3 linked regions of the Astyanax mexicanus genome follow. The protein of the gene in region 3 purifies or fractionates together with the protein of the main gene of each other region. This does not show direct contact. Links are inferred from orthologs where the notes say so. Each region holds a gene or a part of one and is shown on either strand. Other genes may lie near its edges. The genes, in order: tonsl, mini-chromosome maintenance complex-binding protein and mcm2.

Region 1 (11,245 bases), on a different chromosome or scaffold from region 3:
GGCTCGGTACAGATCCTCTAGAAGATTGTTCTTCCTAAGAACAGGAGAGGACCAGTGTTAGGTGCCGGATTAATTAATCACATGGACATGTTTCCTTCTAAAAAACCAAGAGTAGCAGCTGTGTGGACATTAGTATGGAACCTACAATTCTGGGATTATCCTTCTTGACCAGCTGGTTATCCAGAAAAATCATACCTTATGCTGGTCAAGACCTAGTTACCGTGGGTACGTTACTTCTGGATAATAACCAAACTTTCTAACCAGTGAACCTTCACTACCTCTGTTTAACCCTTGTGTGGTGTTCATATTTTTGTTACCCGTTTACTTTGTTACTTGTATTCAATTCAGCAAAATTAAGCAATTTTACATTAAAATGCTTTACACATGCTTGCTTCACATAAATTGCAAGCAATATAAACAGCTTATATGGTTAATATTTGCCCTTTACCTTTCTTGTGTTACATTTCTTTTAAAAAGTGCTACTCTTTTTTTAATAAGTTTTTTAATGAAATGTAAAAGAAAATGAATTAAACTCAAGATATGAGTAGAAAATTTGTTTAGTTTCAAATTTACAAATGAAGCAATGTTTATTAGCCCTTGGCCAAACATACTGTATGTAATATAAATGTGTGGGGGGAGGGGGGGTGTACAGTGTGTGTTTATCGAAAATGTGTTTTGATATATGCTTTTCACAAAAAATGAGCCAATGCCAATGAGTTTGAGTTAGAAAAAATATATTTTTTTGTATCATTTGATGAAAAATGAAAACGTGTCCCACAGACCCGAACACCACACAAGGGTTAAGCCATGAACCACATGCTGCAGACAATTAAAGGCTGCAAGGAGGAGAGTCTCACTCTGAGATGTAGATGCTCTGACGAATAAATTCATTGCAGCGCTGTGGGTCCTTCAAACCATCGCACACAAAGCCCAGATTCAGCAGCAGCCGTGCTCTCATCTCACTCCGTTCCCGAGCCGAGACTCTCCCTGAGACACATATACATATACAAGATGTACGCATCAGCCCCAAACACTGCAAAAAAACACAGTAATAGCCAGTAATATCAAATTTTATAATTAAATCTTATCAATATCAAAAGGTATTTAAAGAATGAACTGATATTACACTATATGTTATGACATTTTCTGAATGTTCAGAGTACAAATGTTAATGATGCTGGTTTACTATGCAAACAATTGTGATCTTTTACTGCTAGGCCTCTAAATGCACTGACATCTAAACTCTGCAGCTGTGGTGATCAGAATTTCTCCATGCTCGCACACAATAATACTGTTGGGTTGATTCTCCTCATCTGTTCTGTCTGCGTGTTGAATGTTTCTATATTCTTTGTACTTTGTATCTTGTATGTGATATGGTCTTCAACCAACCAAAACGGGCACATGTCACTCCGCTGCTCATTGAGCTCCACTGGCTACTGGCTACACTGGCTAAATTCAAAGCTCTTACAATCGCCTACAAGGTGATGACAGTACAGGCTCCTTCCTACCTGCACTCGCTCCTGAAGGCTTACGCTACCTCCCGGCCGCTGCGCTCCTCCAATGAACGTCGCCTCGCTTTGCCAAACACTCACACAAAGCAATCCAGACTGTTCTCATACAGAGTTCCCCAATGGTGGAACAAACTACCTTCCACTACCAGATCAGGAGAATCTCTCGCTATCTTTAATAAACTCCTGAAGACAGAGCTCTTCAAAGAGCACTTAATCTCCTAACACCTCTAACAAACTAACTAATTCTAACCTCATCTCCTTCTTCCTCTTCTCTACTCCTCTATCCCATTATTTCCCTCTGACCTCCTTAAGGCCCTATCTATAGATGCTTTATTTTTAACTTCTATTATTTTTGTACTTAACCTCTTCTATTATTTGCACTTCAATATTGTAAGTCGCTTTGGACAAAAGCGTCTGCCAAATGTAATGTAATGTAATGTAATGTAATGTAATGGGTTGATTCTCCTCTGTAAATGTTATTTCTGTATTCTGTGTGTTTAAATGTTTCTTCTGTGTTCATTTTTTTCTATTCTGTGCGTTTAAATGTATCCAATGTTTCCTAAGTGTCTTTAGGTTTTAGAAAAGTGCTATTACATTTACATTAAGGGTATTTAGCAGATGCCCATATCCACAGTGAAAGTATCCGTAGCTAGTTTGTAGGGACTAGAATCAGAAAGATACATTGATCTTGGATAATAAACAAGATATATACAAGCTATATAAAAATAAAAGTATTAAAATTATCATTTTCATTCAGATAATTTACTGCATTTCCATTCTCCTACATTCCTTTTTTTTAATTTTTCTTATACATATAACCATGGTCCACTTAGGACTAGTTTCAAGGTCTACATTTCTTAAATGTATTTAAATCAACATTAACAGGTAAATACACCAGCTCAAAACATCAGCTGAGAAATGTCCTGGGAATTTATTCTAACTTTTTTAGTACTCAGACGCAACTCCCCACTACTGTGTACGTGTCACCTGCTGACTTATTTTCCACTAGAGTTCATTAGGAAACAAGAACACCACCTTCCAGATGTTCGTTCACTATAGCCAGACTCTTCTTGAAAGCATCCTCTGCTTGCTTCAGGCTGTCCAGTGATTGGTCAGTGTCATGGAGAAAGAGGTAAGTCCGGCCAATGGTGGCCAGAGCTCTCTGTTCCTCTACTGCATCATTTACAGAGCAAGCCAGATCCAAATGCCGTCTCTGATACTGCAAAAAAAGAAACAGGTGTCTAAACCATGGAAACCTTAAATGTCTCTTTAATGTGAAAAGCAACTAACTGCTCTTTTCTTACTTTGAGAGCAGTTGCGATATTGCCAAGCTCTGCGTAACATTCTCCAATCTTCCGATTGGCTACAGCACAACCAATCACATCATGTAAAACCTGTGACAGGGCCAGCTCCTGCCGATGCTCCTCAATAGCAGCCTGGTAATCACCTGACAACACACAAAAGGAGTGAACAGCAGATTCTCAGGGAAATTGACACTGTGAGGAATCATTTAACTAAACTTTATCCTGGGTTTCTTACCACTTTTGGCTAAGACTTCTCCGAGCTGATTGCAGAGGCTAGCTTCCTCCTTCAGATTACTGCTGCTCTGAGCTTTACTTTTGGCTTTCTGCAGTTCTGTGTAAACACAATAAGGACATTTTATTTTAATCTAAAATGTTGAGGAGGTTGTGGTCCAACCTGACGAGAACAACAGGAAGACACTGGAAATGTAGTTAGCTAGCTAGCAATTACTTACCTCTCTAAAACACCAGTAAAGTTAATTTATTTAATGCCATCGGTCACAATATTAAAACATATTTAAAACATTGTCAGTTATATGGCTCTAAAATTTTTACTTAATGATGAATCAGTGCATTCCCACCAAATTACATTTTCTGACAGTACGAAATTATATCATTTCGACCGAAATTAAGGAATATATCAAGAAATAAATTTTGGCCATATTGTCCAGCACTAATTTAGACAAATACCTACAGCGTTAAAAAAAAGAAAAAAAAAAAGAAAAGGTTTTAGGATATACTTTAAGTATGTGCTTTAATCATATATATCTGTTTTTTTTAGTTTTGTCATTTGTCATACAGTATGTCATCACTGTCACATGACTACTGCATATATGTTAGTGCATCTCAAAAAAATTGATCAATGAAAAGTTACTTTATTTCAGTAATTCAGTCAAAAATATGAAACTCATTATATAGACGTCTTACACACAGAGTGATCTATTTTAGGCGTTTATTTCTTTTATTATTAATGACTATGGCTTACAGCCAATGAAAACACAGACGTAAAAACGTAAAACATTAAGCATAAACAGAAAATATATATAACCGAGTTAGTTACTGTAACATTAATTATTCTGCATATATACCAAGTAACGTTATACCATTATAAACAATATACATTTTTAGAATTCTTTTTTGAGCTCTGTTCGAAAATAGTGATAACTAGCCTGGGGTTAGTAAACTATTTAACTTAATAACTCTATTATTCCACGGGTCACAACAACTGAGACCGACCATAAAACTCATTTTTCCACCTGTTTATTTAAGACTTTTTTAAAGTAGTAACCTTCATTTCAAAAGGTTGATAATGAGAGGTGATTTTAATATTTTCGTGTCTGGGATTAGATGGATCAAAATAACGTAACAGTTATCTGATTGCGAAAAATAAATGATACCCCAGCTAACGTTATATGCCTGTGTTAGAAAACAGTGAATACAATAAAACAGCTGTCATAGGGCTAGGCTATAATAACAATATTATTTTTATACGGTTAGCTAAATAGTTAGCCAGGCTAGCTGAATAAGTAAGTTAAATGAATGCTATTTACTAAGGAGCTAGACAACAGCAGGCAGGATAGCTTAAAGCTAGTTATAGTATAACTAGTTATATACAGTCTAATTAGCAGTTTTTATCTGATTAAGACAATAATCTACCTAGTTTAAATAGTATGAAACTTTACTCACGTCTGATCTCCTTCGCTGAACTCATTGTCCCTGGTTACGCAGCGGATATCTGCTAGTTCGCTAGCAGGAATCGCAAGTCAATAATACTGAAAAAAATCAGTGACAAAACAGAGCGGAAACAGGATCTCGCATATTAAATAAACACCACGATCCTCCACCGATCTCCAGACATGTACTAGTGTCAGTTCTGACAGCGATCCATCGCTCTAAAACTAAAACAATACTCAAAAAGTTACCGTCGCTCTTAGCTGGCTAACTAACTACACAAGCTACATCTCCTGTTCCCAATACCGCGCCAAGAGCTCTGCTGCCCGCTGATTGGCTACTGCAGCAGACCGGCAGTAAAAGATCAAGCTCCGCCTACTGAGGTCCACATTGTAAAGCCATATTGGTAAGGTCGTTTCAGCTCCTAATACTCACACAAACATTGAAGTCTGATTTTAAAGAAAAAGCATGTATTAATTTTACTATGGTTATTACTGTTACTGTTTTCCAATGCATAAGTAAAATGTAACATCTAATTGAAATATATTTAAAAAAATGTAAAAGAAAAGTGTCTTAAACAGAAAAGTCATATCATATCATATGAAGTAATGGTAAGAGGAGTAGTCAACAGATTCACAGACAAATTATATTTGTATTGGGTATTCGATTTATACTCAGACATCCCATATATATACCTAAACATGCCTTTTGCAATCATTTAGTCCCCCATTACAGTTATAACAAACTGTACAGCAAGCAAGATTTTTTACATTTTTTTTTATTATTATTTTACAAGACATGGATATACTTTAGAGTAGTAGAGCCATGATGCTTCTTCTTCACTGAATCCCATCCAGGAGGGGGAAAAAAACACTGCCCACCCACACTAAAAACTGATTGGCTGACTCACAGACTCTTTGTAGAATCCTCTTTGTCTTGCATGCACTTCATGAGTATGCACACAAGGGAAGAGACTTTCTCTCCCTTTGCCTTCCTTTCACACTTGCGTTTGGGAAAAAAAAGTCTCTGTCGCCTGCGTATGTGTTTTTGTTCACTCTTGGGCCACTCGTTGTAGATTTAAGGAGATTTTTTTCTGACTTGCGGGCATCAGGGAGCCGGTATTGATATGCAGTAGACTCCTGCAACTTCCGGGAGACTTGGGAAGTCTTTACTATGCTCAAAGCCATTTGTCATATCTGCTATGGACTAGCTCACAACAACACAAGTAAAATTAAATAAACCAAGACACAGAACTTTTAAAATAATGTCCATTTTTTTTAATAATCTTAACAAGTCAGCAAACACACTCATACAAAAACACTGCAAGCTGTACAAGCCTCTAAAGGAACTGTTTACCAGAATAATCAAATGTACTCAGTTCTTTCCATGATCAAAAATAACAAAAGTCCCCCAAACACAAATTGTATAAAAATGACTTTTCAGTGAATCCTTCCTTTAAACAGAGCATAACCCTGAACACTGCCTTAATATTGCACATATTTATTGTTTATTTATGTTTAAAGACTGTGAGCTTTTAGCTAAATCAACCAATGTGACCTTAGTTGTACACCACTAAATCGGTCAAGTGCCCTTTCTCTCACCCCACCAAAAACAAAAAACAGGTAGTTTTGTTGGTTTATTTGAAAATTTTAGAAAATATTTACTATACATTTTTTTAAATATAGAATATTTTGAACAAAATGTATTTTCTGTTGCTAATGGTTAAAAAAAAAAGTAATGTGTCACAATGTCTGGATGAAGATGTTGTGAGTGAGAGGACAAGGCACTGCTTGTTATGATATGTATTCACATTTTCAGGTTTGAATGAATAAGGCCCATTCCATAAGGCTCCTCGTTCTTTCAGCACGCAGCCTGAATGAGTTACAGGGAGGGTAGCACCAGTCAGTTCGGAAATTTGCACAAATGTACAATTCACATTGATGGTCCTGGTTCTTCGCTTTCTGCTGGTGGGGTGAGCTGATCCAGAAGTTCCAAATAGAGGGCAATCCGCTCGATCAGGGAGGTGTTCTTTTCCGCTCGCAAGAGTCGAGAATACACCTGCTTGTACACCTTCACCTGCTCCTCTTCTTTAGCACTGTTTAACACACATACACAAACAGATCAACCATGTATAAAGAGTTACACTATATTGCCGAAAGCATCCACTTGCCTAAATTGCATTTGGTGATGTAAGGATGGGATGGAGCTGCTCGGCCATGGAAACCCATTCCTCTACACTCTACTGATCTTGAGCTAGTCTGAAGCCTGAGGTCTGTAGTGATTGACTCTGCAGTAAGTTGGTGACCTCTACACACTAGAGCCTCAGCATCTGCTGACCCCACAAAGTCATTTTATGTTGACATAGCGAGCAACTTTCATTCCCAGTCACTTCCACTACGTTAGCACTGACAGTTGAGTGTGGAATATTTAGCAGTGAGGAAATCTATCACAGTGCCAGACTGGAATTCCCAGAGATCCTAATAGCGACACATTCTTTCACCAATGTTTGCAGACAAACCCTATTAATATGTCCTGTCTAATCACTTAATTAACAATTAATTTATTATGCCTTATTTTAAAGCATAACCTAATTTCCGGGCCATCTTAAAGTAAAGTCATGATCAGTACAGTGATGGCGGCACCCAGAGATTAGGTCATGCTACGGGTTGTGAACAGTGGTTTTTAATAAGCTTCTTGTGCACTTTTAAAGTTATTAATGCCTCATTTTAATGTCAGGGCTCTCCGGATTCTATCAATAAGGTGTGGAGCTACTTTGAGCTTGTAAAACGATGTAAAAAGTGATTTATCTGCAGGGGCAAAATATGCCCAATATCATTTATTCTAAAGCATGTTTGGAGACACTGCAAAAAATTACTGGATCTCAGAAAGATGAGGGAGAACAGATGTGGGTTATTCAACAAAGGTCAAATGTTCAGGTCAAAAGTCAATTTTACACCAGAGTACATAAATCTCATTTTCACCTGGGTTTCCGTTTACTTGTGGCACTGAGTTTGACCAGCTGCAGGAGCAGGAAGGAGAAACTGGGCTCAAAGACACCAATCAGCTTCAGCACCTCCTGTGTGTTCAGGCCTGAGGAGGCAGAGCTATCACACCCCGCACCGGCTTCATCAGGATTGTCTGTGTCTTCTATTGCGACTGCCTGCGAACATATTAATAATCATTAACCTTTCAAAACAGTAAGATAATAAGGTCTCATTTTTGGCATGCCTCTCTGTATACCTCTTTCTGCTCTTGCTCCTGTAGCTCCTTATGGATTAACCTGAAGGCATGGCGTGTTTCATTCATGATCTCTAAAGCACCTGTTAGGGTTTTTAATTTCACAGCACTACTACTCTGCCCTGAAAAACACAGAAATAGCAACATTAACACAAGTTTAAACACAAAAAGACAGACATTTGAATGTGCAAAAATACATCACACACATGCGCAATAAAGACTACCGACTACTGTGTGAGACTGACCTGCCATGGTAAACTCAGCAAAGGCTACTCTCTCAAGCAGCGTGCGAAGAAGCTCACATGGTGCGTCACTCAGACTGAGAAACAACCGGACAGCTTTGGAGTAATGGAGCTCTGCTAGAGACCTATGCTGCTTCCGTAAACTCTCATCACCCACCTGCAGAAGGCACAGAGTCGAGGTAAATGTGAGTGTCTGTACTGATATGCAAGGGCATATGACTATGGAAATGGAAACATGGAAATGAACAAGAGGATGTGTTTACCTGGTTACGGTAGCAGCTGTGGTACATGGAGGCAAGTCTGTGGTGAATGGTAGCTGCTCTGTACTGGTAGAGCGGCTGACGAGCAGACTCTGTCTGGAGGTCACAGTATCGCAGAGATTTCATCATGGCATCCGTCACTTCCCTTTCGATCTAAAGTGAAAAGTTAGAATGGAAAATCTTTTGTGAAAAGCTTGATTTAAATGTTATAAGTTTAACTAGCATTCATGGTTTAGTAATAGTATATTCCGATTACAGTAAGGTGGCCTAAGCCCAATACCATTTCCCACTTGGCCCTACCTAAGAAAATCACTAGCAAGATAGCAGCAAAGAAACCCACAAATTTGAGTATTTTCTTTGTTACGATATCACGATGTGTACAATAAATTTGATAACCACTATATTACCATAGTTTAATGTGTAGATTCAATGTTTTATGGCCATTTTCTTTATAACAGGCATAAAAAAACAGCTATTAGTTAGTCTAAGTAGCTTAGTAGCCACCTTAAATGGTTCAACAGTCGGAGGAGACTGCATAATTAAAGATGAAGAGGAAAATTACAATAAAATAATAGCTAATAAAAGCAGAAACAATAATTGCTACACAATCGGCCCTCTTTCTAAAGACATAGGATGCCCTAAATTTAACTAATTAACCAGCAACTAGGTTGTTTAACTTTAGCACATCACTGTTTTATATCTGTATAGGGTGCATGAATGGTTGTCCCAATTCTTATTGGAGAGGATTTCAACCCTTTCACATGTAACTCTGTTCCAAGGGGACGAGTTACACACTCAAAAACAAGGGGTAGGGGAGCAAAAGAGAAATGGGATTGTGCTTTAGTCTGTGTGTGCACAAGCGTGTGCACAAGCGTGTGCATTACCTGTTCTTGAGCTTTTCGGGATAGTGGAGCATAGTCCTGCAGTAATGTGGCCAGGGTGAAATACGTGGTGGAAAGCTCCCAGTTAACAGAGTCCCATACTGCTTCATGGCTCTCTCTGCTGCCCAGGCATTTCATGGCCCTCTGATAGTAATCTACAGCCTAAACACAGGTAGAAGGATATGATTATAGTACGCTAAATGAGATTTAAAAAAATAAAAAAATAAATAGTAATAATAATAATAATAATATTTTATGATTACATAAAAATATACTGTATTGATCTGTAAATGCACTGTGACTAATCAAACAATTTATACACAAGATAAGACAAATATGTTATATACATTTTACACTGCTCAGTTTAAAACTAATCAGTTTTACAACTGGTGCATAGTTAGTTTGTGCATGAGTACCTTGTTGTAATATAGAGCCTCTTCTGGAGAAAACTCTCCTCTGCTCTCCTCAGAGGTCATGGCGCAGTGGGCCTGGGCACAGATGCGCATCAGTCTGCCGATGTTACACAGCAGCAGAGCTTTATTCACAGAGTCAGAAATGGCCTCAAAGTTCTGCATACCCTTCTCAAAATACGAAAAGCTTTTCTTCCACAGTTCTTGCTCTGCTGCACAAACCGACCTCCGCACTGCAAGAGAGAGAGGAAAGGACAGAAAATAGAGTAAAATTTTAAATATACTACCACTGTGTGATCTGTAAATACAAGCTACCTGGGTTGAAATCTAGAAATCTAGAATCTAGCACTCACCCCCTTCTTTCTCTGTCTGCAAAGCTGCAGCCTGGTTCATGTAGAACACACCCATCTCATTGCGGATGTTGCCAAGCCGCTTCAGAACTTGTGCCTGCTGCTCCTGGCCCAGGTCCTTCAGAGCCTCAGAGGTCAAAAGGTCATGGGCAGCCTCATAACACTTACTACTGACAAACAGCTGGTACTCTGGGTCAGTGGCTAGATCAGTGGCCACGTTGAATGCTGGAGAAATAATACACACAGATCATTACAACAGTGGATAAAAGCAAAAAGACTAAACAACACTCTTATTTAGGAATTATGATAGAAATTTATTTGATACATAAAACATGACTGACACCAGTAAATGATGCAAGGAACTGTAAACGTTTGTCTGAAATTTAAATCGAAAAATATAAATCAATTTGGCTTTTGGATTTTAAGGTCATGTTTTTCATTCATTTTGGACCTGTTGTAACCATTGCATAAATAAAATCTTGAAAATTATCTTGCTTTTAAGCAAATTTACAAAACTACAATTTTAAATATTTATTAAACAATGAACATTTTCATATCCACCAGGCATATTAAAAACGTTTTTTTTACTACATAATTTAGGTCTCTGAATATTCAGTGCATCCTAAGATACTATAATACAATGTGCAGACAATGTGTACATTGTTAAAGATGGAATGCATTAGAGTTATAGCTGAGAGACCTTGGCAGGAGCTCTCCCGGTGCAGACAATGAAGGATCTCCTGGTCGTCTCTGGTCTGATAGCTGTACTCTTCCAGATAGGCAGCTCTGTTTGAGGCATTCTGCGCCAGCATTAGCTGTATGTCTCCACACAGAGACAAACACTGACTGTGGAACAACAAGACACGTGGGTACAGTCCACTGCATATAGCACAATATGCATCTACACAAAGCAAGAAAAAAAGAAAGAGAAAACACAACAACATTAGAATAAAAGATGTTAAAACGTTTTTTTCTGCATTTTTAGTTTTTGACATGGCTTTTTAAAAGTAATCAAAAATCAACTATATGCTGGTATTCATCAGTCTATTCTCTGTTGCTGAGGTCTTCTCACCATGACACTGCAGGGCCAGTTTGATGTACCGCAGGGCACGGCCATACTTCAACAGGTTGGTGGCAGCCTCGGCCAGTACATAGTAGGCTTTTGAGGCTTTTAGGAAAAGCTGCAGCTTCATCTGGTGTTGCCAGGAGCCAGGCAGCATGCCCGAGCGCATGGGTAACTTGAGGCCCTCACCACAAGGGGCAGCTATGGAGCAGAACAACAAAAGGAGTTAAGGCAGGAACAGATTTGGCCAAAAATTGATTGATTTGTGGGGGGTCTGAATCTGACCTCTGTCAAGCAGAAGGGCAATCTCTTTCTCCAC
Region 2 (10,559 bases), on a different chromosome or scaffold from region 3:
AAAAATTATTGGCACCCCTGCCCCTCTTAGCCTGCAAGAGTTGTGAAAGTGGGGAATATGTAAGCTTTGATCATTGTATCTCACACTACACACGTGCTGTATCCATGTGTACCAGCTCATGAACTGAGGTAGAAGAAACAGCATCCCTTTGTGTAGGTATAAAAGCTACAAACATTCCTTTGTACCTTTGAGAGTAAAGATGTTAAATATCCACAATGTTGTGGGTCTGTGTAAAAGTATGAAAATGTAATGCACTGGGAAGTAATGATATGTTGGCCATGTGTTGTTTTTGTGTTGTGCCACAAGCCCTCTGTCCAAGAAAAAAATTCTCTTTTGGGAGACAAATAAAAGAACTTTGACATTGACTTTCGTAAAAGCAGAACATTATATATTCTTTTGCAGTGCCGTCAACATTTCTTTAATTTAAAAGCAAAAGTATCGTTTTTTTTTTTTTAATTGGCAATTATCCTCAAATATAAAACACAATCTTAATATTACCTGAGTTTAACTCTTTGTCTTGTTGTGGTTGTGTGTCCATGTCATCATCTTCCTCGTAACTGCGCTTGTGCCTGTTCGGGGTGTAGGATGTGGAGGGCACCACTCGAGCTTGGCTAGATCCAGCAAAACTGTACTCAACGGTTAAGCCAAACTTTCATACATGAGATTATGCCAGTCACAATTATTACATACCGGTAACTTGATTTGACAGAACCAGGGCTAATTTATGCTGATCAAGTTGTCAGATTAAAAAAATATATATCAATACATTTAAAAAATGTCAAAATTAGGCAAATACACTTAAATGAGGCCTTATTTGAGAGAAATCACAGATCTTATAAGGAAGAAGAAAACCTCTAAAACTTTAAACTTGCTAGAGCATGATATGCATTTATAGGTTAGGAAGCAAACAAACAAAATAGCAGGTTTAGGATGTATGCTAGCAGTAAGAGCAAAGATGTACACAATGATGTATACTCTATAATTGCAATAATATTTAAAGGACAATTACCGTCTAAACAATTCCATCTGCATGACTGGCATACACCAGATCACATTTCACAAGGTCATAAAGACCTTAATTTATGTTTTATGCAATGATCATTCAATTTACACCATTATGTTAGGGCAGCTTGATCCACAGATGAAGAGCTTTCTTCCGAAAGGATATTTCCTTCACCCACTGAGATTCTCCTGGGATAGGAACGCAGTAAAAGGTTTGTCTCTCTGAAGTAACAGCGTTTTTGGAGTTGAAATCAATCTGCTGTAAAGATAAACATGTTCCCCTTAGAACCATTGATTAAGGTTAAAGAGAGTGACTGACTTTCTGCATGAGAATAGGTGTTAAATGTTTGCAGAAATATTACTAGGTATAACTGCTAAATTAAATACTATTTGAAGCATATACTACACAGAAACAATCACTTTAACAGTAGACTAAGTGACCATGCAACAATCCATTCATAAATATTGAGAGAAAGATAGATACTCACGCCACAATCAGTAACATCTTTGTATTTTCCACATCTCAGCACCTGACAAATGAATAAAAAGAAAAAGCCAGATTTAATAAACATAAATTAACAAGGACCATATGCTCAATTTTAAACTATAATTTATTAATCATCTATATTAGATAAAATAAATATTATGTATTTAAACATACAAACTATTAACTGAATAATATGGCAACATGATTCACTGCAGCTCAATTTGTCATTTCTAAATGTATTTCAACATGAACACAATAACAATTATGCTGCACTCACATCAGACAACACGCTACAAATGCAGCCATTTGCCTGTTCAGGTGTATGCATTAGACCATTATAACCACCGTCTTACCAGGCAAAATCCATACCTGCTGCTTTATTAAATAACAAAAAAGGTACATAAAGCACAATTATAGAATTATGAGGAAAAAGTGACTGCCCTTGTACGCAAACAAACAAAATTGACAAAAAAAAATTCAATGAACTTAAGTGCTCACTAAAAGAAAATAAAAAATAAACTAATAACAGGGTGTTGAAAGAAGGATGGATGAAAGAAATTACACTAAATCTACTAATGCTAAATAGTAAGGTGTTTCGGCCAAAAAAACGATAAACTGACAATATTTTTGCCCACCTTTGAATTTGTTGAAGGGTCAACTGTCTCATAAACCCCCATAAAAAACTCTGGATCAAACATGTCCTGGATCATACAGCGGAACTTCACCAGACTGTTGGGCTTCAGATAGTGCAGGGGAACGTCATTCAGAGAGGGAACCTAAACATCACAAACAGTGTTTGGTTGGAGTGTCACAACCAAACAAACGTGTTACATACAAAAATAACTTAAAACAAGGTTATTTATATAACAAACCAGCAATTCAATCAAGATTACAGTTACAGTAGCAGTCAAAATTTTGGACACACCTTCGTATTTAATGTTTTTCGTTTATTTATTTTATACATTGTAGATCAATATTAAACACGTAAAAAAAATGAATTATCATCATCATTAGTAATATCTTCAATATTATCCCCACTAATATTATTGTTGACATTATTCTGATTATTATAATAATCATCATGATTATCAGCAATATTTTTAATATTATCTGCATCACTATAATTAATTTATCATCATCACTATTATTATTAATATTAATCAGATTATCCTGTGTCATTATTATTATTATTATTATTATTATTATTATATTATACTCATTATTTTAATAATAATTATTTTTTATCCTTCTTATTATTATTACTGATAATAATACAGATAATAATAATAATAATGGTAATGACGATGATACCATCAAAATTATCCGTAATATCTTCAGTATTATCTCCATCAATATTATTGTTGATAATATTCTGATTATTATAATAATCACCATGATTATCAGTAATATCTTCATCATCACTATTATTATTAATATTATTCAGATTATACTATGTCATTATTATTGTTTTTTATATTATACTCATTATTACTCATTATTATAATAATAATAAAAAAAATAATAATTATTATTATTATTGTTATTATCATCCATAATATCATCATCATCATCATCATCATCAATATTATCACCATCACTTATTAATAATATTATTCTGATTATTTCTACAATTACTCTGATTATTAATTTTTATCCTTCTTCTTATTATTATTATTACTGATAATACAGATAATAATAATGGTAATGACGATGATAACTATCATCATTATCAGTAATTTCTTCAGTATTATCACTATACCCATTATTATTAATATTATTCTGATTACTATTACTATTACTCGAATTTTGTTATGATGATGATGATGATATTATTACTATTATTGTCATTATTATTCTGATTGTTATGCTAATTATTATTGTTATTAGTAGTAGCAGTAGTAGTATTGTTATTACTATTATTATTATTGATTATTATTATTATTATTCCACATAGTCCGTGTTTATAAACAAAGTGCGTGATTAAAAAGTTACCCAGGACTGTGCATCGTTTACTTTCAGTTTCTCTTTGAAATACTCCACAATCTTCCTCTCCCAGTCTGACCTGGAACTGTTCTGAGCTGAAAAACACAGAATAACGTTACAGAAACACAGCTTTATAATCACAGCAGCAGCTCCTGTTTCATATCTAAACGCCTCTGTTAGCTGACCTAAATTAGCCCCATGCTGCCAGTCTGTAACAGAATTTAACAACTTTAATTAAACAACGAGGTATATATGGAAAATAACAGACACTTAATAATTCACACACACGAGCTGCTGTGCTTCAAGTGACCAGACTAGCTATTTAAATAAAGAGAATTATTCAGCTAGCTTAGGTGAGCCAACCTATCCATATGTTAGCTAGCATGCTGCCCAGGCTAACCCCACGTTTCAGCAGTCAGCAGTGAGACAGAGCCAGAGCCCTGCTGCTGTTAAACTGCAGCTCTTTACCGAACAGCGCGTCCACCGCGCCCAGCGGGCTGTTTATCCAGTCCTGAACTGAAGGCATGGCTGAAGCTCTTCCAGAAACTGCAGTAAGTCTCCTCGTTCTTAAAGTTAAACTACTTCAAAAAAGCCGTTTTCTTTTTTTGCAAACTCGTTTCCTCCGCTCCACACACACACTTCTTGGTGGCGGGAAAATTGCGTCACGAACAGCCTCATGTGACCGTGAGCGCGAGCTGTGACTAGAGAACCTCCAGAGAGGAGAAGACCCACTTAAACATCTCTACTCCACCAGGGGGCGCTCCCGAGAGAGACCAACAAAGAATGGATTCACATGGAGCAGTTGGGCAAAATCATAATTGATAAATGTTTGTTTATTATAAAATTATAAATATAGCAAATTACAAACGTACACCTATTTTTAGTTGTCCTAAAGCAGTAGTGTATGGCCCAGACAATCATGAGACCACAATAAGAGATTTTGCTATTTATAGGTAGATGTTTGAGTAAAATTAACATTGTTGTTTTATTCTATAAACTACAGAAAACATTTCTCCCAAATTCCAAATTTCAGAAATCCATATTTGGTGGAATAACCCTGGTTTTTAATCACAGTTTTCATGCATCTTGGCATGTTCTCCTCCACCAGGTTTTCTAACTGCTTTTGGATAACTTTATGCCAATCCTGGTGCCATAATTCCAGCAGTTCAGCTTGTTTTGACGCCTTGTGATCATCCATCTTCCTCTTGATTATATTCCAGATGTTTTCAACATCAAAGCATCACATCATTCTTAAGTGGTCTCTTATTTTATTTCAGAGCTGTATCTTTGCACCTTATCCTCACTAGCCTATTTCATTGAACCGTATCAGTACTGAACTGTGTGTTGTAAAAATACTGCAGTAGAGTGTGCAGTAACACAATCTGTTCCAATACTGCTTTACTATAGACAAAGGTTTGTTTATTTTTGTATAAAGCTCAGTTTATTTCCATTGCTACTTACCAGCTGTAAGCTGTTAACCAATTGTTGTTTTTTTTTGTTTGTTTGTTTTTGCTAAAAATCACAATTTTACCATTTAACACATTGGATTTGGTACCATTTCCGGTTATTGACTGGACCTGAAGACCTTAAATGGCAAATATAAAAAGGAAATTTAGTTGTTCTAAAATGTTTGACAGATAGTGTGAATGTAGGTTTTTGTTTGCTTTTTAGCAAAATACTTAAAGGAATGTCATGGACATGTTGTTAGACACTATTAAAAAATAATTAAACAATTAATTTTAATTTTTAAAATAAAAATTTCAGGAAAATACAGAAATATTTGAAGCAGACTTCACCTGTGTTCAGCTGTAATATGCTCTGTAAACTGAACTGAATCTGGTTTTCTTCTTGTTGAGCAGCTAGTCCCTAAGGCAGTGTATAAGTGTATGCTGTCACCACACCTACAGGTTGTATTGGATATTATAATAATGATCTATAAATCCCCTGCAGGGTTTTGCAGTCATTGTATGAGATGAATAGGAAAATATGGGGAAGTGGGCAGGCTCTTCATAAACCGGCTCTGTTCTGGCTCTGCGAGTATGTGAGAGTTGCCAGGTACTCTTTTTTTTCCCGGATTTCGTCAAATTGGGTTACTTTCTTATAGACATTGATTCACTGAATAATTGTACATATTATTATTATTATTATTATTATTATTATTATTATTATTATTATTATTATTATTATTTTATTATTTTATTATTTCTTTTTTTATTAGCAAAACTTAAAAAAGTAAGCCTCAGACGTCGTTTCACTTTTAACCTATACAAAATATATATAAATAAAATTTTACCTTTCAGATCAGTTTCATAATCTGATAAGCCAGTTTCCCGTTGCACTGCACAGTTTAAGTGAATCTGGCAACTGTAGTGTCTAGACCTCCGAAACGAATAGGCTTCTTAACAACAGATAACACAGGTATATTTTAGATGCACTTTTAACCCTTTGATGCACAACATGTGTCAACAATAGTGACCCAGCTGAGATTTAATGTTCTATATTTTTGCAAAAAATTAATTTAATCATTCAGAAATGCATGGTTTTATCAATTAATTTGTTTTTGATCATCATACATTCTTATTAGTGTAAAGTAATTATTGAAACTAAATTTTATAGAATTCAGTTTATATAGTATTCACTTTATTTTGGTTTTTTTTTTTTTTTTGGATGCCATCCAGAACAAACATACCCTAGGGTATGTTTTCTTTGGATGGCCAGCTGGTATAGAACTGGATTTTCTTAGTAGATTCAATGAGTCATTTTTAACCCATGTGTCTAAATTCGATTTAGTATTATGTTATACTGTTTTTGTTCATAAAGTATTTAAATAAAATAACAATAATAATAATTACCCCTAGTAAATAAATGTTACCAATAATTATTGTAAATAATTACTGTCTAATTGTGACTATTAAAGCACACAGTCACAGAACACTCGCTTCCCTTTAACTATCGGTTTATCGGTTATTTATTACTTTGGCCTAAAACGTCATATCGACTGAGTGGGGGAGGCAGTGGCTATAGATCTATATGTCGTAGGGATTGACTGAAGGAAGGCAGTCGCTGATTAATCGGTGACAAGGCGGATGATCTGAGAGTCAGTGAATATGTAAAACCCCCTAAGACTCCGGCTTGACGATCACGGAAACACTGAAATCTATTGCTCTGCGACTCCGGCAGTGGGAGCTACGTGTAACAGTGAGTGAAAATGGCTGAAAGGAAGAGCAACGTCCCCAATTCCAGCGCTAACCTGCTGTTTTCTACAGCCCCGGAGTTTAACTTCAACCTGCCGTTTATTCCTGTCAGCCAGGCGAGCGGCCCTGCTGTGCTGTCCGGAGGTGAGAGACTGTAGTGGGGTCAGAGAGAGAGAGAGAGAGAGAGAGAGAGAGAGAGAGGGGTATGCTAACATAGCTAGTTATCAGTGTTCAGGTCAGGGTGAGAGCTAACTGTTAGCCTCAGAGCTAATCTGACATTCGAGTTTGTTAACTAACCTAGTTTATCTGATCTTCTATAGCATGGCAGCAGCTGTCACTGTGCCAGTCTTACAGCTTTTGTACATGGTTACTGAATGTGTTTGTGTCTAAGGTAGTTTGTCTGTTTTCTGAGGGATTATAGTTAATAACGTAGGTTAGCTAACATAGCTAATGTTTATGTGTTCAGACATGGATCAGTCAATTCATCTAACATAGCTTGGTCAACTAGTTAGTGAGATTGCTGTTGGCCAGCTAGATTAGCTAATAGAAAACAATTAATCTGGACACTTCCTCTATTCATAATCTGCAGACACAGCTCCTACTATTTGAGCTTTTAGTTAAATGTGTGTTTCTACATTTCAAGTAAGAAGTAGCCAATTATCTTTTGTGTTCTCTTGTGTCCATTTAGCTAATTATACATAATGTTATATTTATCATTGTGCCAGTCATCATCACTTATCAAATGTATGGTTTTTAGGGCTGAAACTAATGAATGAATAATTAAATGATTAGTCAAGGATTATTTCCGCCATGACGTTCGTTCACTCCTGCTTCATGTGGGCACAGCTCTTGTTCCTAGCTTTTAAAATAATACAAACAGTGTGAATGTGGAATTAAAATTCAAATATTTAAATAGGGAAACTTGTAATATTTGGTGAGAGAATATCCAGCTGGCCATCAACGTTAGTAGACGTTAATTTCATGTTGAATGTTGGTCATGACGTCAGATTTTTTTTTTACGTCAGGATAACGTCTAATACTGTTACGTGTCTGCAGGGTATGTAATCTTTTGTGTCCCAGCTCTACTACTTCACTATTGTAGTTAAGTACTAAAATGCTGTATTTACTTGAGTATTTTTTTTATTCTACTTTCACTTTTACTTCACTACATATTTTAAGTTTAATACTTGTTATTTTTATGTGCTACATTGTTACTTGTTACAATTCTACAAAATGTTACAAATCATTCAAAACCCACATTATCACTAAAGCCAGAGCAAACTAAATGCTTTGCACTGTCATCGGGTTTGATAAAGCTGCTCATCATTGAGTGAATCAAGTGATTAAGCTGATGTTATAAGATGACCACACTGATCCTGTTCTGCTTTTCACAATGAGAACTTTCCACTACTTTCTGCTTTCTGCATAACACAGTACCGTACTTTTACTTTCAGTTCTTGAGTAGTACATTCTAGAATAGACTACAAAATCATTGCAAATACAATACAGTAGTTGCAAGCACAAAAAAATGTTGAATACTTAGTACTTCCACTTAAGTGTGGAGCTTGAAAAACATGTCAGTTTTCACTTTTTTTTCACTTTTTTTTTTTTTTAAGAGTACTTGTACTTGCATTTCTGTTCCAGATTTGTGTCTAGTGCTTTGCAGTTACAATTTTTTACGAGTTTTTATATGGTCATTAAAGTTTTTTGTATCCCTAATGCTTTTTCCTTACTTCCTTGTCTTTCCTGAAGATGATGCAAGTGAAGTCGGAGAAGAAGACAGTTTCCTTGGTCAGACCTCATCTACCGCTCCTCAGACCTCAACGTTCAACTATTTTTCTAGCTCTGCAAACAGTAGTGACCCATTTGCTTCAATAGGCCACCAGCAAAGCCTGCCCCCTGCACCTGCAGTTGTCTCAACAACTGGTCCCTCCCCTGTTTCCAGTGCTGCGAGCCTGCCAACAAACCCTCCAATTTCCCATGTTAATCCTACTCAGCAATATGGTAGTGCAGTTTACCAGAGTCCCATGGGCAGACACACTCCTCCACCCAACACGGCAATGCCTCCACCTCCCCAGACCACCCAGCAAAGCTATAATCCGTATCGTCACACAGCCTCAAGTAGCAAAGCAAGCCCTTATCTCATGGCTCCTGAGCTACAGCAGCAACCTCCCAATCAGTCACCTCAGCATTTCAACCCCTACACACAGGCCATGCCAACTCCTACGTTCCAAACAGCTCCTCCAACGCTTGCTAAGGTACGCACTTTTTGTTCGTTCCTGGGTTCTTTTGATTATGTTACAAAATATAAAAATGCATGAACATCAAGTGTGTTGTGCCTTTTTTTAGCCTCCCCTTACGCAGACTCCACCACCACCACCTATGTCGGGACCCAGCATGGCTGGACCTGTGGTTCCAGCCAACCCCATGATGCAATACTCTTATAATGTCTATGAGCCTGTCCAGCCTCACTGGTTTTATTGCAAACAAGTGGAGGCCAAGAAGGTGTGGCTTCCCTTCAGCATTCTGGATTCCCTTCGACTGGAGGAGACATTCAATTCTAGTAAGAAAGAAAGAATTTTAATATTTTAAATCATTTACTTTACTTGTTGCAGATTTTTCACAAATGTTTTGTGAGGGAAAACACGTGGCAGAAATGTATGACTGGTTTAAGAGTACAAATGTTATTTTGTGTATACATAACAGCATTTGTTGTGTAGTTGCATATACATAGATACTGTCGTGTCACTGGGGGCAGAGTTATGAGACCAGGCCCCCCTCTATACTCAGCACTGACCACCACAATACTATGAAGTAGGGGTGTGCCATATCATATCGTACGCAATAATATCACCAACATTTTTAAATATTGTGAACAATATTATACCCTGAAATATTGTGACATATCACCTACCCCTAATTATCACATCAGGGTACTACTTTTTTTGCAGTTTTAATAAAAGGAAAATTTACACAGTTCTAAATTCCCCATTATATACGTATCTACATCCTAAATTAGATTGTATCTGCCCAGTATTATTTTTTTTACTTTAATCCTGGATATATGAAGATATGTGAAGTGCATTATTAGTATCATGACATTCTGTATCACTAATTTATGTTACAAAACTGATTAGATTCTTATATATTTTTATTTCTCAGTTAGGGGTGTACCATATCATATTGTATGCCATAATAAAATGTCATTTTAATTTTGTTGCAGTAGTGCATTCTTGAAATATTTTTTTTGGTTCAGTGTTTTGTCATATCACCAAGAGTACCCTTCATCCTTTCAAATACCATGAAAAATCGTGATATTATTTTAGGGCCATATCGCCCACCCCTACTACGAAGGCTGAACCATGATGTAACATTAAACGTTGATAGTATAATATTTAGTTTAGAGACTGATGTAAGAATTGCCTGTGAGTTTTAATATATTATGTGTGGCATTTAGTCCAGCCAGATCCAGAGAATGTGATCATCTGTACTGACGGTGGGCGCTATGATGTGCAGCTATATGACCGCACTCGAACTTCTGTGTACTGGGAGGAGGAGCCAACTGAGGTGCGGCGCTGTACCTGGTTTTACAAAGGAGATGCGGACAGTCGCTTTATCCCCTATTCTGAGGAGTTCAGTGACAAACTGGAGGTATATCAACATCTCCATGAGTTTACCGTCTTGGTTCTTACTCACTTCTTGTCCTTATATTTAATTTAATTTACATTAAATGTTCCATATTTTAGTTTGTCACTTCATGACAATTCTTGGTACTGTTTACAGGCAGAATATAAGAAAGCTGTATCTACTAATCAGTGGCATCGCAGACTGGAATTTCCTTCAGGAGAAACAATTGTCATGCACAATCCAAAGGTATAAGCAACACATTGAAC
Region 3 (10,754 bases):
AGCAACACCTATCATCACAAAGAGAGCATGGCCAACTATGCTCGCTCTGACTCCGGCTGCTGATGCTAAAGCAGCACGATATGAGAATTAAACTCGCAATCCCCAAGTCAGTGTTCAACAAGTCGTACTGGATAATGAAAAACCATCACAATGGCATCTAAGAGATTTATGCCCATCATCAGCTGTCTGAACATGTACCTGAGAGATCTCAGCTCCTCCACCAGCGGCAGGTTCCCGATACGGACGTGGATCTCGTGAGCGATGCGGTCGTATTTGGGGTACATGGCCAACACCACCTCCTTCGCCGCTTCATCAAAGATCTTCAACATCTCAGCAGGAGCTTCAGGGAGGAAGTAGGCCAGCACGTGCTCTCTGGAGGCCAGCTCCTCGTAGTTCACCAGCAAACTTTCCTTATTTTCTACAAAAAGAACAATTTCACAGTTATTAATAACAATTTTAAAAAGCTAGTCAACAGTTTAGACCAAACAAATAGCAAATTGCAAACTTTTCCTTTTCTAACCATCTTAATTTTTTAGGCCACTACTCGATTTTTAATGGTCAGAACTTGCTGTCGTGTAACTGGTAATCTTTTAGCTGGTGTGATTTATACACTACATCTGTGACCGTCAGAGACAGAGGATCACAAATTACAAGATCTTTCAGCAGGAGGAACACACGGTGAGCCTAACTGCTTTGTAAAATCATGTTTTACACCAAAAACACATGCTGCTAGAACTGATGCTGTACATAAGACTAGGGCTGAGTATCTTCTGTCTCTCTCTTCTGAAACTATAGAAAAGTGAGAAAAAAAAGCTCTAGCCTTACCAATCTTAAGACTAGACTAAACTATTAGTGTCTCCTCCCAAAAAGAAATAAAATCATGGTTTAAAATAATTTAAGTGATTATATCCCTAACAAAATAAAAATAATAAGTATAATTATATAATAAGTCTTGTATTGGTATCAGAAATTTTAAAACAATACTAGTCTTATGCAAGACACGTTTGGTTTTCTTCCAAAACGGAAGCCCATAAGAAACAAGGGATACAATTTCTTTGTGCACTGATTTGCTATGAAAAACAGAACATAGAAAATGAGAATACCTCCTCTACACAAGTAGCTTACCTTTACACATATCGCTGATCCTCTCTTTAAACACGTTGTGCCCGTGCTCGTCCACGTGTGTGCGCAGGAAGTTCTTGAAGCGGTGGTAGATCTCCAGACGAGGAGCAGCCATGGACACCCACTCTCTCACCGTGTGTCCCTTCATATCCTCCAGGTTCTCAATGCTCTCGATCATCTCCTCGTCCTCACCTTCGGCCCCGGCGCCCTCAGCCGCTCGCTCAGCCAGACGCCTGCGCCTCTTAGACGGCCGCTCGTCATCCTCATCTTCACTGTCTGTGTTAACAAAAGCACAGAGAACACATTCAGACGTGATATACTAGCAGAACTGCACATGTTAAAGATACATACTGTACAAAAAGCTTGAGAGTTATCAGTTATAATCAGACATTGTAATTAATAGAATTTGTATAACATGTTTTAAATGTACAGCTCTGGAAAAAATGAAGAGAGCACTTCAGTTTCTGAATCAGTTTCTCTGATTTTGCTATTTATAGGTTTATGTTTGAGTAAAATGAACATTGTTGTTTTATTCTATAAACTACAGACAACATTTCTCCCAAATTACAAATAAAAATATTCTCATTTAGAGCATTTATTTGCAGAAAGTGAAAAATGACTGAAATAAAAATAATGCAGAGCTTTCAGACCTCAAATAATGCAAAGAAAATTTTAAGAGTTCAGAAATCAATATCTGGTGGAATAACCCTGGTTTTTGGTCACAGATTTTTTAATAATGCATCTTGGCATCTTGTTCTCCTCCACCAGTCTTACACACTGCTTTTGGATAACTTTATGCTGCTTTACTCCTGGTGTAAAAATTCAAGCAGTTCAGTTTGGTGGTTTGATGGCTTGTGATCATCCATCTTCCTCTTGATTATATTCAAGATATTTTCAATTTGGTAAAATTAAAGAAACTCAGTTTAAGTGCTCTTGTTTATTTTCCAGACCTGTGTATGTACTAGAAGTAACTGAACGCACCATACAGCAGGCCTCTTCCCATGCGGCCCATGCCTTGATCTCGGTCTCGGCGCCTCATGGCCTCCTCTGCAGCCGCACGAGCTCCAGGAGAGAGCTCACTCAGGTCCTCTTCATCATCCAGACCCTCCTCTTCATACCGATCCAGCTCTGGGATGGCACGGTAGTCCCTGAAAAGAGCAAAATATGAGATTAACATGTGACAGTATGTGGTGCTGCTGGGCTAACATTCAGAAACTAACTTGAAACATTCTAAAACCAGTTTTCTATACCTACTTTGAGCTGGTGTTTCACTAAAAACAAAACATCCTCTTTGACTGAGGCTTGGAGAATATCAGAAATATTCTTTCAGAATTAATATATTAGCATATTTTCAATGTCTGTTTTATAATTACTGCTTTAACTGCAGAAAACAAATAATATTTTACACACGTGTGGTAATATCGTTGAGGTCACTGTGATTCAGTTTTAAAATCTCTCTAAAACCTTCCTTTCACTTAAGGCCCTAACTTAGCAACACAAACAATATATACTTACACAATACTTCAATAATACTTAATGTAAATAATACTAAAATATAATACTTAAAATAATACCAGAACCACTAATAATTCATCAAATAAACATAAAATAACTGGGGCATACACTTCGCCAACATGTTTAAATGTTTAAAACTTTACGAAAGTAAATTTCTGGAATCATATTGGCCAAGAATGAAGTGCATTTAGCAAGAGGAATTTCATTACATCTCCATCCCGTTCCCAATGAGCTCTTCTCCATCTCCTTCCTCCTCCTCCTCATTAGGGATGTTGTCCCCCAGCAGACCCTCGGACTCGTCCTCGAAAGGAGGCAGGTCTCTCCCCGGGCTGGAGGTCAGGTCCCCCCTCCGAGAGCCACGGCTGGGGCTGGTCGCCATGTGAAAAGACTCGGATGAATCCTGGAGTATAAAAAGAATGAAAAGAAAAGTTAGAAAATTACAATTCAAGGTCGTAAATAGCGCCAGTTTGAACCATCTGTTCTAGAATTGTATAAGCAATTTACCCACCAGACATGATTCCAGCATCACTGTAAATCCTAATTTTAAATATACATTTAGCGAAGTAAGATATTAAACTGGAAAATTGCTCCGCAGGACTTCAGTGAATCATTTTTCACTACAGCATAAATTAAACAAACTAAACATTATTTGGTCTTGCTTTTCAAAGAAATGCAGTTATAAAACTAAAACATAACATTTCTTGAATACTAAATATTTACAATTCCAACAGACAAAGCACAATATGCTATAATTATGCTGAAATTACCATTTCAATTTATTTTGTTTTCCATTTTTAAATAATAAACATATATTTAAGTTACAAATATATATGTTATAAGTATTCTTAATAATGCATGTGCTTTATTGATAGAAAAAAAGTTTTTTTATAACTTTGGAACGTAGTTTTATGAGCAAGAAGCAATGTGACTTTTTAAGACTTTTCCGTTCCACCTTAAAAATGTTACACGACTTAGCTAGCTAACCTACAGAGAATCTGGCTCGGTGCCCCAGAGCACTGCTGTATTTAAGGTGGAACGAAAGAATTCAATACAGAAGCTACGGACAATTTTATCAATAACGAATTGGATTACGTGAGCCATCGTTACCAACATGTAGGTATTAAAACTGCTCTATTATCAGCTTTTAGTATATTTTAATACTAAATCCTTCCCGCCAGTAACGTTATAGCTACTTTAGCTTAGCTAGCTAACTTAAACTGAGGAAACAGGCAGCTCTCTGGCTAGCCTGTTGTAGCTGCAAATACAAACACACTGCCTGAGAGAAAAACTTAATATTTTGTTGTACAGACACTTGAAAGGCGCCTAAATAAAATTATTCACCTCAGATTCGCCTCATATTTTGCTTCAGGGCTGCGTAATAAGGTTGATTAAGTAATAAACACTCGATTTAGCCCACAATGCTAACCAGCAGGAGCTTCAACAAAGACTGAACTTCTGCCCAACGTGGTCCTTCACTAGAGTACTAACTTTACGACAGACAGACAGAACAATACAGCAAAATATTAAGTTTCTCTCACTTAAACACATTTAACTTACTGGCGTCTAAATATCTAAAGTTAGATATTTTTAAGTAATACAATCAAGTTATTTATTTTAAAAATGTCAAAGTTAAAATTAAAAATTAAAAAGTTAAAGTTAAAATGTAGTTACAGCATCCGTATAAATAACTAGCGTTTTAACCATTCCCTTAAAAAGAACAGCTGTACAACAATAATAACAGTAATATCTAGTTATAGATAACGTTAAAACAAGATGATATATTTTAAATGTTAAGATAAGATAAAACAATGCCTTTATTAATCCCACAGCGGGTAAATATTGTGACCCATGTTAGCAGGTTAACAGCAGGAGTAACAGAAGACAATTAATGTTTTGATAATTATACAATAATTATTTTTAAAAATCTATTCGTAAAAAACGTATACGTATATATAACGTGTACGTATATCTTATGGTAAGCAGTCACCAATGTTATTGAACACAGGCTGACAGATTATTACAAAATGCCTCCATTCAGTTACATTAACTACGCACATTTGTTTATATCTAACTTACGAACTAGTGACCTATATAGTTATATATTTATAATTTACAATAGATCAAATCATATATATTTTTTAACATTTGGCCTTGTAAAATGCTATTATGTGCACTTGTTACTGCATTTCTATAAAAGACAACAACTTCAACCAAATCTATCAGATTTGTCTCTCAAAATAACCAGTATTATGACATTCTTCAATTATAATACATGTCTACATATAATCAGTTTAACAGTATCAGCCTCGTTTCAGACTATTTCCTTTAATACACTTTATTAAAATAATAAATAACAATCTTTAACTCACCGCCATCGTGCTGGTTTGATGTATACACGCCTGTTCTGCTCACTCTCCGGCTACTTTCCCCTGCAAGCCGAAGTTTTCGCGCGAAACTTCCCACGTGACCACAAAGCGCGGGAAAGCTTATGAATATGTATAGCTAAGGATTCTCCGCGAGTTCTAATTGGTCTGTCCGCAAGAGCGCCACGCCCCCCTGTGCTGTACTTCTACACAGATTCAATGCAGTATTTGACAAAGCGCGGGAAAGCTTATGAATATGTATAGCTACAGAGTCTCCGCGAGTTCTAATTGGTCCGTCGGCTAAAGAGCCACGCCTCCCTGTGCTGTACTCCTGCACACATTCAGCGCCGCATATGACAAAGCGCGGGAAAGCTCATGAATATGATCACATGACGAGTTTCCGCTGCTCTAATTTGCCGTTGGTTGGAGATGTAAGTCCACGCCCCCGGATCTGTAATTCCGCTGGGGGTCACTGTAGGATATTTTATAGAATAAAAGCACATTGTCGTTTTGTACTGACAGTACAGAGGAATAAATAAATTAATAAAATAAAACACACAATTAAAGTGTTTATTTTTAGGTCATAGTCTGGCCTTATAGCTCGGTAATATTTTTATAACATTTATCTTAAAATGATTTAAATAAACTTTTCCCTTTTCCCACGCGCTCGTAAAGGAGAAATCCAATGTGAAACGGACTTGTGTTGCAGTAAAACATGATAACCAGTACACCCTTTTGTCCAATAGTCCTCCTCCATTCTCCCCCAGCATTAAAAAAAAATAAAGTACTTTTAGCTGATGTTCCCAACAAGCTTACAATGCTAGCGATGGGGGTATACAGTTACCCATCAAAGTAGCACCACACTTCATTGGTAGAATTTCGAGGGCCTTACAAATAAAATGAGTGTTGCAGATAAGGAAAGCCATATATTTGCAAGGCAGGGGAAACAGAATTAAAGAACCCTGCTCTGGAGTGATGAAACTCCATCAAATATATATTTGGAATGAGTTGTAGTGTGAGTTTCTATCTTTATTTACGTTTTTTTTAGGCAAATACAATAAAATCCTCACTGAAATATTCAATATTCATCATACAACCTTCTTATTAGAGTAGAATCTGCTTTTAGCTAACAGGAATGCTCATATAGGTCGTATTTCTTATTCAGAAAGTTGAGATCGCCAACTTTAAATTCCAATATGGCTGCCCCCACATAAACAGTAGTAGTAGAAGCAGCAGTATGATATAGTTTATTATCATGTCTATCCCTTAGTGTTTTGTTAAATTAGTCATACACACAGTACTGTGTACAGCACCAACTTCTACCTGTGGTAATGGTGTTTCCATGCTGTTTGGATATGCAAAATAGTGTATAATGCTTTTTTTAATCAATAGGTATCAATGGTAGCAAACTAAATCTGACTTCTGAGGTTAACAGAATGAGGATAATACCCTTGCTTTCATAAGATGCACTAAAAGAGCAGGTAAGTGTTTCTTAAGAACATATTTAAACAATATTATTAAACAAGCAGCAGATCATTTAGAACATTTTAATCAGTGTTTATCCATCAGTGCATTAAGCCATGATATAATTCCAATGGTCTCCTATAAAATCTGAGGTTATTCTTGTCGGTCATTGGCCCCTTAACTGCACACGATCTACCTACACTAGTATCCAGTACCCTGTACCCTATTATGAAGCTTTAAAGATGACGTACAGCACTGGCATAGTTAAAGCAAAAGCAGTGTAGGTCAGAACTGTGGTGTACAGAGTAGTCTTATTGATCTGAGCCTCCAGTCTCTTCTCCGTCTGGTCCAGTCCCTGGATGATGCTCTCTGTATCACACACCAGCAGCTGCGTATCTTTAGTCTGAATGACTGGCTTCTCAACAGGACGATTCAACACAGATTTCCTCACGGCGTGAAGCTCTGTCGCCACCTTCCCCACGCTCTGCTCCAGCTGATGCAGCTGGGGCTTGAGATCTTCCATGAGAGCCTGAGCTTTCTGGCTGTGGAGGAGGATCTCCTTCACGGCTTCTTCTGAGGCACCGTGTGTAGACGGAGGGGTTGAAACGGGCACTGCTGCTGGCACTAAGACGGACCTTGGCTTGACTTTTTGTGCCTCGACTCCTCCACCTTTCACAGCTGCCCTAAACGTATCTATGAGGCCACGGAGTTCCTCCTGCTGGTTCTTGTGTAAACTGGCTTGGATCTTGATAGCTTCCTGTAGACTCGCCGGTCCCTTCTGAGCTTCTAGCAGCAGGCCTTTCAGTTCTTGAAGGCGTACCCGGTTTACGTAAGTGGACCCCATTACCCCAATGATGGCACCCAGCACCGAACCAATTACGGACCAGTTCTTGGTTCGCTCGGCCCGAGATCGCTCCTTCTCGTGGCTCTCTCGCACACCAGCCGAGAAGAGCGCAAATTTCTCTCGTTCGCACTCCTCCGCATTCTCGTAGGTTGTTTTCAGACGACGCTCTTCCTGCAGAGACAAAGAAGTTAGTGAGTGGATGGTTTAAGTAAATTAGAACCTCTTATCATGTTATTAGTAAGGATGCACAGAATATTTGGCAACTAAAATACATTTTCTGGAAATTACAACAAACCTGCAGTAGCTTGTGTTCCAGTGTTGCCAGTTCTAGATAATGTGCCTCCTCTCGTGATACACGGTCCAGGCGATCTCTGACTTCCTTCAATCTAACTTGAAGAGCCTCCAAACTGACGTGAGCCTCACGGACCATTCCTCTGGCTACCATGAACGCCTTCTCTGCCTTTAGACAGGATGAAAGATACAAGGATTACACAAACATAAAAAGATGATTAAGTCTAAAGAAGTGCTCTTCAGCATTTAGAAAGCTATAATATAAAGCGCTGGGAAAAAAATAAGAGACCACTAAAAATTATGAGTTTCTTGGTTCTTGATTTTACCAAATTAAAAACCTCTGGAATACAATCAAGAGGAAGATGGATGATCATAAGCCATCACCAATATGGCTTTTTGCACCAGGAGTGGCATAAAGTTATCCAAAAGCAGTGTGTAAGACTGGTGCTGCTCACCTCTGTAACTTTGCTCTGAGCATCTCGAACTTCATTGAGACCCACAAACTCCTCGTACTTCGCCCACCAGTAATTGACGGTAGTGCTCATGGTCCTCACAGAATTCTGTCCCCACTGTTTCCCAAGCTTTGCCACATTCTTCAGGGCGGCCGAGGCACGGTCCTGAGACGACACGGCCTTATCAGCCTTGTCCTCTGGGTTCTGCTTCGGGGAACAGTAGGTTCTGTTGATGGAGATGTTCCACTGGACTCTGCCAGGGACTTTGAGAAGGTAGAAGCAAGTTCCATAGCTCCTTGGTAGGACACAGCTTGCTCTGTACCTCATTGACTTGCTTTCATTTGGGCAGGAAACACACCTTAATCTGGCAACCTGTGGGAAACAATGTAAACAATGTAAACAGTGTAAAATGTTCTAAGGTGAGAGAACCGTGAGTATGGTAAAGGCAATTGGACCATTTTTAACTTCTTCAACATCTTCAGTGATGAAAAAATGTAAAAATGCTGTTTTCTGTCTGTAATGCACAGAAAAGAAGGCTCTAATAATCTATTATAAATTCTATTGTATTGGAAGCATGTGTGTAATATTTTACATTTGATGTTCACACTTTTATTTTCTAAACCTTCCATAAACTGGAAAAAAACATAATTAAAAAGTATTCTGAATCACATTAAATTAGTATAAAATAGCTGTTACTTTGCATAAATGGATCTAGGTACTATTCTACTGTTTTTCCAGTCTAGTGTATGGGGCAATGTTACCGTTTCATTGGTTCATAAACTTGTTCATTTGCTGGTTCGTGATCTATTCTGATAGACAGCAGCTCTCAAATAGTGTTATATACAACAAAACATTTAAAAATAAAAATATATAATACATGATGTCTATTATACTAGATGAAGGTTCTAAAAGGGTTAATTAAATTAGAATAAGATAGTAAATTGATCTCATTTCTCAGTGTTTTTTAATGAAATCAGTCAGCAGCAAGAATAAACACACATGAAAATAATGATAATATAATTGCAATATAATCTACTTTAATATACATAACCATTCAACACCATTCACTTTCACTTTACACAAGCTATCCTATATAATATATAGCAAAAATAGAATAAAATATTAAATATCTGCCTATATAACATGACATTTTAAAGCTATAAGAGTTTAAACACTTAAGCACTGAAGTTGCCATATATCAGATGTCAATAATTCACCCGGCAGCTCACTATTAGCCAGCTAGCTAATTAGTTAGCTAGGTTAGCTAGCTAGCTTCAAATTCATTTATATATATTAAAACACAGTTATCTAGTTATCTAACACACTAGTTACCAAACCTACCTACCAGATACCGTCTCTGTTAGTTAGTCCTGTCTGCCTTCGAGCGAAACCCTGAGCATTTTAAATACAAAACCAGCCTGTTATGAACTAATATCAGACAGACAGAGGTGAGTTAGCTTTGAGCAGTTAGTTAGTTATCTGTATGAAAGTCATGCTAAGCTAACATTTTCTTCAGGCACATTTCCAGGCTCCCCGGCCCGCTTCAGAAAGCCCCAGAAAGTCTTCAGGTGGTTTGTCAGACACTAGAGGGCGCTCGACAGGAAGACCAAAATGAATGGGTTCATATGGAGAAATTAAGCAAAATTAGTTTATAGAGTTTATAAATGTTTTATACTCAAAAAATGTTAAATTTTCCTCAACACAGAACAATAATAATAATAATTGTAATATTTTAAACTATACATATAAGCCCTTTAAACTGCAGCTGCAGTAAACACAATTGCAGTAACTTTAAATTTCTACATTTTTAATTTAGAAACATTTGGGTATGGAGGACAAAAAATGAAAGTATGAATAAATAAATGCACATATAAATGATTGAATAAATACGTATCTATATAAATACTGAATAATTGTATAGAAATAGAAATAAATTAATAAATACATTTTGTAAAATGAAAAGGTACACACTTAAAATTATATCAGGAATTTATTTTCATGCATGAACCTTTATTTGGGGCTGTTTCTGCAGCATGTCTATACAGTATTTGTTTCTTTATTTGGATATTTATTTATATGTGCATTTATTTATTTATACATATGTCATTTTTCGTCCGCCATATTATATATTTGGGGACAAAATGTTGGCTTTTTTATATTACAATATGGCTTTTTTTTTTTTTTCAAATTTTAGGTTTGACATCACTAGTTCGTGTGTTTTGACATGCTCTCCTCCACCAGTCTTTCACACTGCTTTTGTGTGACCTTATGCTGCTTTTGGCGAAAAAATCCTAGCAGTTCGAAGCAGTTCAGCTTTGTTAAATGGCTTGAGACCATCCACCTTTCTCTTGATTACATTCCAGATGTTTTAAATTAAAACTGTGAATAAAAATTTAAAAAAAGATTATTCCAACAAATATTAATATCTACCGGTAATCTCTAATCTAAAAACATTAGTATTATTATAGTGTTGTTTCTAAATGAATATTCAATGTTGCTCTGCATCTTTTTCCTCACCTTATTTTGACTATTTTAATTTTTCTGTAAATAATGGCTCTAAATGAAAATATTTTTGTTTGTTTTATTATTAGTATAAAACAACAATGCTCATTTTACTCAAACATAAACCTATAAAAAATAAAATCGGAAAGAATTATCATTTTAAGGTGGTATTAATATTTTTCTGCAGCTGTATTCGAATCA

The links.
Region 1: the proteins of mcm2 (region 3) and tonsl purify together in Homo sapiens (affinity purification with mass spectrometry; 4 studies listed by BioGRID and IntAct, with this or other methods). This does not show direct contact. The link is inferred for Astyanax mexicanus from reciprocal best matches to the Homo sapiens genes MCM2 and TONSL.
Region 2: the proteins of mcm2 (region 3) and mini-chromosome maintenance complex-binding protein purify together in Homo sapiens (co-immunoprecipitation; 6 studies listed by BioGRID and IntAct, with this or other methods). This does not show direct contact. The link is inferred for Astyanax mexicanus from reciprocal best matches to the Homo sapiens genes MCM2 and MCMBP.

Annotation. Positions count from the first base shown.
Region 1 is NC_064421.1:19,731,457-19,742,701, forward strand, and holds the start of tonsl (tonsoku-like protein), read right to left. Parts: upstream 4,800-11,245; 5' UTR 4,524-4,799; coding exon 4,499-4,523; intron 3,147-4,498; coding exon 3,051-3,146; intron 2,959-3,050; coding exon 2,816-2,958; intron 2,731-2,815; coding exon 2,547-2,730; intron 988-2,546; coding exon 858-987; intron 35-857; coding exon 1-34. Other genes in the region: edrf1 (erythroid differentiation-related factor 1), read right to left, coding at 6,416-6,578, 7,465-7,643, 7,724-7,842, 7,966-8,119, 8,226-8,375, 9,107-9,265, 9,520-9,746, 9,867-10,088 and 3 more. UniProt on the Homo sapiens protein: Component of the MMS22L-TONSL complex, a complex that promotes homologous recombination-mediated repair of double-strand breaks (DSBs) at stalled or collapsed replication forks.
Region 2 is NC_064414.1:37,673,615-37,684,173, reverse strand, and holds the start of mini-chromosome maintenance complex-binding protein, read right to left. Parts: upstream 4,146-10,559; 5' UTR 3,999-4,145; coding exon 3,941-3,998; intron 3,568-3,940; coding exon 3,482-3,567; intron 2,266-3,481; coding exon 2,125-2,265; intron 1,533-2,124; coding exon 1,491-1,532; intron 1,262-1,490; coding exon 1,169-1,261; intron 629-1,168; coding exon 499-628; intron 1-498. Other genes in the region: SEC23-interacting protein, read left to right, coding at 6,681-6,810, 8,419-8,924, 9,016-9,229, 10,124-10,317, 10,450-10,539. UniProt on the Homo sapiens protein: Associated component of the MCM complex that acts as a regulator of DNA replication.
Region 3 is NC_064431.1:667,313-678,066, reverse strand, and holds the start of mcm2 (DNA replication licensing factor MCM2), read right to left. Parts: upstream 5,153-10,754; 5' UTR 5,013-5,152; coding exon 5,007-5,012; intron 4,114-5,006; exon of another isoform or gene 3,979-4,113; intron 3,038-3,978; coding exon 2,847-3,037; intron 2,271-2,846; coding exon 2,104-2,270; intron 1,399-2,103; coding exon 1,126-1,398; intron 419-1,125; coding exon 199-418; intron 1-198. Other genes in the region: ccdc51 (mitochondrial potassium channel), read right to left, coding at 6,691-7,479, 7,604-7,768, 8,055-8,378. UniProt on the Homo sapiens protein: Acts as a component of the MCM2-7 complex (MCM complex) which is the replicative helicase essential for 'once per cell cycle' DNA replication initiation and elongation in eukaryotic cells.